Drosophila melanogaster: one gene and its partner. The protein of the gene in region 2 interacts with the protein of the main gene of each other region in a pairwise test. Each region holds a gene or a part of one and is shown on either strand. Other genes may lie near its edges. The genes, in order: Ccdc85 and CG3880.

Region 1 (3,922 bases), on a different chromosome or scaffold from region 2:
AGCCTCATGACCGCAAAAAGATTCCAACTCGGATGAAGGCTTAAAGAAATGAGTAATATTAAACATTCAACTTAGACCCCTAAGGAAACATACTTTTTGTCCGAGAAGTAATAGTGTTAATAATTGTATTAATATTAATTACTATTTACATTTTGCCAATTCAAACGATGCCTGACTGTTGCATTGTTTGTGGTATGTGGCCAAGCAGTTTTCCCAACTACACCATCCCGCCTTTCCATTTAACCCATGGACAATGCATTTGCATTTCTTGGCCGATTTCTCCCTTTCGCGTTAATGGGTTAATGCTGCTGCTGCTGTTGCCTGGCATTAGTTACAGTTTTCCGATACACGAAATTGACTTTACATATTTCAGGCAGCGGGCGATGTAACAGGTTGTTCGGCGCCATCTCTTTCGCTCTTGCGGGCATTTCGTTTCGAAACGGTGGCGTCGCTGCTTTTACCTGTTGCATGCGGCGTGGTTGTTGCTGTTGCTATTGCAACTGCTGCAGCAACAACAAAAGCAACGGCGATGCTGCAGCGTGGTCGGTTTTCGCTGCTGGTTTTGTTTGATCTTGTGTCTTATTGTTGCGCGTTGTCGTGTATCTTTCTGCCTGTTATTTGTTGCTTTCCTCGGATGCGATACTATCGCCATCGCTCCTGCTGCCTCTCCTTCTCACTCACACCAGCAAGCAACTGTTGAATTTATTGGCGCATATAAATGCCTCAAAATTGATGTTATTGTCGTCCGATATTCCCTTTCTTGCCCCCTTGCCGCCTCGCTGGCTCGTTCCTTTGTTTTTGTCCTGCTTGTTTTGAAAATTGATTTTTACTCGGACTTTTATGGCCGTAGTGGCCGAGCGATAAGTGGAGGAAAAACCCGCCTTCGTTTGCGCACCGTGGAGGGAAAAGACAAAAGACCAGAGACAAAAGAAGAACAAATGGGCAAGGTGGGCGTAGCGCTGACAAAGTGGGCGTTCCCGAGGAGAATAGAGCAATTTTCTGGATCGAAGGGAAAAGAGGGGGCAATGAGTTAATTTTCCGTGGGCCGAGGCCCATGGATTTTTAGTCGACTGACGTGGGCTTGGTACACGTAAAAAAGTATTGATTCAATGTTTTTTCAATAGCTGAAGAGCCTGAATTGAACTTTTTGTGAGTGAGTTATCATGTATGTTATTCAAATAGTTCCTTGCACTGTACATTAATTGTGTGGAGAAACGTGGGCAGGGAAAATGGCAACTTAGGCCAAGGCAACTGCAGTTGCTGCAATTGCCAATCTAACAGCAAAACTCACCTTTTATTTTTTTTTATTCCAATCCGATCGCGCGCTCTCTCTATGTTTCTCTATCTATCTCTGTTTCTCGCTCCTTCTCTCCTTTCAAAACAAATCACAAATATTTGCGCATGCGCGACTGCGCATTCCAGGGATACAGATACACACAGACACACACAATACACTGGCACACAGGGGCACTCGATTCCGCCGTTTGTTTTGCGGCTAATTGTTTATACAGCGTAGATTATTCTTCGCACTGGATGTATTTGTTCATCCGGCTATTTTCGTTTGTTTTTGCTCCGCACGAGCAAATTTGCAGCGCACACGCAGCCGAGAATTCGCGCAATCGCTTTTTCCTGTATGTATCTTTTATTGGCCACAGTTCGCGAGTTTTCATGCCCTTTTCGAGAGCCAAAAAGACGCGTCGCCTGCTGCGTTTCGCGAACTATTTTCGGTTGGCTAGAATCCCGTAAAGGCGGTTTCAGCCGGTGTTCCCCTTGCACTTAACAAACACTCAAGCGGCACTCGCAACTAAAGAACAAAAAGTTTGCGAAAATGCGGGCGGTGTGATTAGTCGCCAACACGAATGTATCGAGTGCAGGGCGGGGAAAAGTATAACATAATTTATGCGATATTTAACAATAAAATAAACACAACGCAATAATTCAGCCGGCGATGCGCACTTTTACGTTTTTTGAACGGCAAACGATCGCAACGATCGCAGTTTTGTGACTGAAAGCGACCGATTTCTAGAGATGCGTTCAACCATCCACAGTGCTGTCGACTATCGATTGTTTGTGTTCGACTAAGATATCGGAGTGGAATGTGTTTGGTTTAAAGTGTGGGCATAAATCGATCAATCGATCAACTTCTATTTTAGTACATATTCAAATTCAAACTCTTCCGTTAACGATCTAAACGGAAATTTATCTTGCCTGCTTCTTTTAATAAGTATAATCTTGAATATATTGGCTTGAAGTTTTCATAAGAAACACTTTTATTTAAAAACATTTTGGCTAAATTTCAGCGCCTAAATTATCATCGTATTTCGCCGCCACACCCCAAAGGCAGTTCTCCCAATGGCCCTCAAACCTAAACTGTGTTTCCGATGCAGGCAGCTCCTCCAGCTTCAGCTGACTTGCGCAGAATGAACTGTGCGTTTACGTGTCGCACCAGAAGAAGGTATACCCAGTGAGTCCCTTTGACTCCTCTGGTGGTTGCCATGTTATAAAATTGGCTCTCACGTTAAACCTGAAATCCTAAGCTAATAATAAGAATAACTAAATCTTCTTGGCTGTGCATTTACTTGGACCAATTTAATACTTTCAAGTTGGCTTTACATAACTTGTGTAATTTGATCTTGCATACATAAAAGCATAAAATATATTGCAAAAATACATATGTATACATGGTATGTGTGTTATATAATTCTCTCTATAAACGTTGTAAATTTTGCGTACGGCTGGTAATTAGAATATTTGTTTACATCTGAACACTTAAGATCCACCGTCCCGATTCACTTAAAACATTTAACCTAAATCTATTTGTTTAACGCGTTGAGTGTTTCTCTTTTTTTTTTTTAGTTGAGTCCGTGTGCATTAACTTGTAAATCTGTTCAAAACTGCATTGTTCGTTAAAAGTTGTTTTTTAAAATATAAATATCGAAAATTTAACAGGTAAAAAGAATAATTTCGTAAGAGTAGCTGGTTAAAACAAACAAGGGCTAACAAATCCGTAAAATATGTATACACAAGCTTTCCGTTCCAAGCGATCATAAAGACCCCTGCTCCGTGACCAGCACAACGCTCTGCTCCTGCGCAATGGCAGCCAGCTCCTTAAGCCACTCGTCCATGAGCACAGCACATAGGGCCAGATCGCGTGATCGCTCGGTGCCACTTGTGCTGGCGATGATTCCCATGGAGGCCACCGAGTCCAGGGACGCCGGCTCCGAGTTGAAACCACCCGTCGACGGGCCGCCATCCAGACCGTGCAGAGTGCTCGCCGAGTGGGTGGTTGTGTTCGACTGGGCGGAGAGCGTTAGGGTGGAACCTGCGATGCTGCTGTTGCTTCCCGATGCCGCTGTTGACGTCGCGTTGGCTCCTGTGCGTGATGCTCCCGCTGGGGGCTGCGTACTCAAGCTGGTCTCGCATGTGCCTGCGGACGTCTGAGCTTGTGATATGCCTCTTCCATCGTTGCTGGCATTATTCCCCACCAGATTCGAGGCAGCTCCTAAAAACGTATGCGAGGATTAGCAACAGCACATGATATTGACATTTTGGGTTAATTAAAAAACAACAATAACCACATGTATATATGGGATTCCACAAATGTTTTCTATATTCTACTATTAACTATTTTTTTAGTGGAAAGCATAATGTACAAAGCTCTACGAAAATAAAGATACTACGCACAAATATTAACAAGACTATGCCATATTGGGTTAGGTTTGATTAAAACTTTAAATATTTTATCAAGCGTGAAATATTTACCGGTGAAGAATGCGTAAATTTGTGATAAGCCAGATGAAGCTAAGATTTGTTTGATTTTTTGATCGATTCGATAAAAATAAAGAAATAAAAGAAATTAATTTATTATAAACGATGCCGGCGGCATTTTACAGAGATGTGTGTCAACCAAATTTAGCCCTGA
Region 2 (3,922 bases):
CAGGGAATCGTCCAACCGGGCAGCAACCTGAACTACAAGCAACTTAACAAGTACATGCGCCGCTACCCCAATCCCGTATAGCTTTACATAGTTCAAGTTGTTTAATAATACACTATTTACAATGTACGCAGCAGCATTGATTCGTCAGTAGACCACGTCGGCGTCTCCCAGCCCGGCCGAGGATTGGCTGACCGGCGAGGGCTGGCTGAGCACGAAGTTGGGCATGGCACGCAGGAACTGCGGATGGGAATGAGAGTGCTGCGCCTCGTACAAGTCTGACAGAAGCGGCGGCTTCTCGCGAACCCGACTGAGCAGATCGGACATCTGCCTCGGTTTTGGGACGGTGGGTGTCGGCACAGCCAAATTAATGTGCAGTGGGTAGCCGCCGTGCTCCCAGGTGTCGGCCAGAATCTGGAGGCTGCGATTGGCCTCAAAAACGCGGGCGCGTTGAAAGTTTAGCCTTTCTTGCTGCAGTTCAGACCACTGATCCTGTGCGAAAATCAGGAAAGGGGTAACTATTAATTACAAGCTAGAGGACTACTTACAAATCGGGTTCCTAAACGGCCGAAATACTTTATCTGCTCCTGTACATTGAGCACCTGCATCATATACCAATCGCGTGCCTTCTCCACGCCATCGAGTCCGAAAAGAAGCAGTTCCCGCTGCTCCTCCAATTGCTTCAGTCTTTTTAGCATGTTGTAATCGATGCCGTGTTGCAGAGTGTGCCTCCGCGACTCTCTGCGCTTGCTGCTGGTCTTCTTGGGCACAGCCGGAAGGGCCAGGCTCCAGTCGGTGGCCGAAGCAGAGGTGGAGGAAGAGCCACCGTCAGCCGATCCACGGTGTTCGAATTGTTCCCGCGACTGCGTCGTTTTTGACTTTCCTGCGTCCGCCATCAGGTTCAGTTGCCAGTTTTGGAGGGCATGGCGAATGTCGTCTTTACCCAGAGCAGGGGACTTGGGTACCTGTCGTGGAGGTTTTGGCGGCGGAGCAGGAGAATGGAACTCCATCTCCGGAGCAAGAGTTCCGTGGGAACGAGGCCGCAACTTCAGGTCTTCCACAGCGTTTTGCTGATTGCGGAGCAGGCACAGCTTGAGGCCGGCGCAGAACCGCTCGAAGGAGAGAAGTCCGCTACTGGGAGTGACCCGACGGAGTGAGTCCACAACTCCGCGTGGCAGTCCCTTGGAGCCATCATCCTGCCAGCCCTTCTCGATGTCCGTGAAGCGCACGTATCCGGTCTGCTTGTCATCTAAGATGTCGAAGAGCTTTTTCATGGACAGGACGAACTGCTTAGGCAGCGTATCCAGTTCCCAAAATTGCGACTGCCCCTGTGGATGGCTGCCTCCCACATCGCCTATGCTTAGGTTCAGCAGACTGGTACTGGTATTCTTGTTCTGGCGGAGCATCTTCGTCTGCGGATGGCGCAAAATGGAAAGTGGGATGAGATTATGAATCGTATAGTCCCACGCTTGGCACCAATGCATAACTTATATTAATAGGAGCTCATTTGCATGGGTAACTCCAAATGGAATGTGTGTGAATCTGGCACGCTGCCTTAGGACTGAATCTCTGAGCTAAGATATTTCCCACTTATTTACAAGCAGTTTTAACAAATTTATTTTTATAAAATCGTCTAGTCGCCACACAAAATTACTTGATTTCAAACTCTACAATTTTATTTAAATGGGCTCAACTGAGACGTGCAAATGAATGATTTTGTTAGTTTCTTGCCTTCAAGTACCAAGTTTACTCAATGTTATTATCGCAGCTGCATCTGTACCTTAGTCCACTTTGGTTGCTTATTTTGTTTATAAACAAAGAGACGGCCCTCCATTTGGCTGACTTACCCAAGCTATGCGGAAAATTGGCTCCTGAAATCCGAGTCCGCGGCTCGTCTGGCAGCCTTTTGAGGCCGTTCGTCAAGGCTTCTGCGCAAACTCTGCAACTATTCTGTGTATGTAATGCAGCTCGGTCGCTTGGATCCCCGGCCAAAACACCCAAAGCCAACCAACTGGTTATATTGACTGCACACTAGATCAGCGGCCGAGGTTTTGGGCCCGAGTCTCGCACGCATGCGCAACTTGCGCGACTGGTTTCTGTGGGTTTTCGGTGGATCTTCCAACACAAGCGCAGCTGAGAGAGTTCCAGGAGGCTAACACACACAGGCTAGGCCAATACCACATCGCAGTCTCAGCAAAGTGCCGAATAGAGAGGCTCTCTTATGATTAGGTAGAAACGTATTTATTAGTAGAAATGCACTGCTCTTGGCTTAATCAGTCGAAAGAGGGAGCTAACCGCCTAGGTTAAGATTGTATCTGGTAGATGCACGAACTGCAAACTCTGCGTGATCCGTATAGGGCTGTGGGGCACCCGGGTGGATTACTAGAATGAGCCTTTCACCTCAAAGTTGTGTTCCTCTAAAGGCTAGAACTTAGTCTTATTCTAAGGATTTCCTTCGAAAATCCTGTCCAGGAAGTGTTCACAACTCGGCCACCGACTTCCGGCGCACGTACTTGGCGAAGTAGTCCGGGCGCCAGCACTTGCAAGAGCCGGGGATGAGGAACCAGTCGTAGTAGAGACGCACCTGGAAGCAGCCCAGTTCATCGTGTCCATCGCAGTGGGCGTCCACCTGCGCCGCGGGGCCGGCTGCTCCAGACGAGGTTCCGTCGGAGGCGGTAGCCACGCCTGCCCTCTTCTGCAGGTACTGCTGGTAGGCCTGGAAATCCTGCACAGAAGGGGCCTGAGTGGTGGTCGAGCTGGTGGGCACTGTGTCCTCCGCATTGGGGTAGAAGATCTCCGCCACCAACAGGCTTACCCAGCGTGGTGACGACAAGCAACCGCCGTCCAGGTAGTGACAGCGTGCCTGAATGCAACGCGTCACCTCCACCGTCTGGGTGAAGTAGCCCTCATAGGGAATCTGGACCACATAACGCCAGGCGCCTTGGTAGTTCTTAGCGAAGACGGGAGTAGCGTACTCTACCTTGGCGGGACAGGGAGTGGGAGGACCCTCGTACCGGATGGGACCCACCTCCTCGCGCCTTTCCGCAGTGGGCGTGGCAGGGGCTGCTCCTCCGGTGTCTCCCTGAATTGCCCTGTATAAGGTGCAAAATCTGTGGGTGGAGTTAAAAGTTTAAAAATCTTTTATTAATTGACCTGCACGCAGTTGTGTCGTCAAAATGCTAAGCAGTTGAATACCCCATGATGTACTCCTCTCTTAACCTATTCTACAATATCTATGGATGTCGATTAAAGTGTTGAGCTTCTTTAGTTGTATGGCTTTACATTATGATGTGGAAAGTGAAATGACAAGCTCATTTGGGTTCTTTGCCTTGATAATTCTTCGAATCTATAATTTTATAAAGATGACTCATAATTTTTAAGTGGTGACCTCTTTAGCTTTATATGCGCGCCTTTCCCGTGCTTTAAGAAATACGATATATTTATCTTTCATTTATGTAGCAGTTAAGATTGGAATAACTCTACTCCCCCGTTTCCATGCTAAAAACTTACACTCCACCGCCATCGCAGAATTTCCTTGGCTTCCTCTCCTCGGCGGCCCTTCTCTGCTGGTTATTCCGATCCCTTTGCTTGTGTTGCTCCTCCTCGTCCAGGGCGGGATCGAAGTAGCTGTACTCGTTGGACTCCACGCCCTCCGGCAGGCTGCGGCGGACGCGAGTGGAACCTCCTGCGGGATAGGGCCTGTCGATGTTGTTGCTGTCCAGCTGTTCCACGGGTTCATCTCGAATGATCTGGGTGACCTTGGGTAGGGTATCGTCGGCCTTTAGAACGGGCAAAGTTTTCGAAAGGAACTTCAGCGTTTGGTTGCGAATAAGTTCGCTGTGGAGGAGGTGTACATTAGAGATGTCTGAAATTTGTTACGCAAATATTTTCACCTACAAGGGATAGGGCTCCCCGAGTACATTTT

The links.
Region 1: the proteins of CG3880 (region 2) and Ccdc85 interact in a two-hybrid assay, tested with the Drosophila melanogaster proteins (2 studies listed by BioGRID).

What each region holds. Positions count from the first base shown.
Region 1 is NT_033779.5:2,997,371-3,001,292, reverse strand, and holds the start of Ccdc85 (Ccdc85), read right to left. Parts: upstream 2,008-3,922; 5' UTR 1,292-2,007; intron 1-1,291. Other genes in the region: CG3558 (uncharacterized protein), read right to left, coding at 3,045-3,502, 3,763-3,801.
Region 2 is NT_033778.4:24,758,769-24,762,690, reverse strand, and holds CG3880 (uncharacterized protein), read right to left. Parts: upstream 2,028-3,922; 5' UTR 1,845-2,027; intron 1,410-1,844; 5' UTR 1,404-1,409; coding exon 546-1,403; intron 490-545; coding exon 145-489; 3' UTR 86-144; downstream 1-85. Other genes in the region: CG12848 (uncharacterized protein), read left to right, coding at 1-81; spz6 (spatzle 6), read right to left, coding at 2,477-3,107, 3,508-3,834, 3,895-3,922.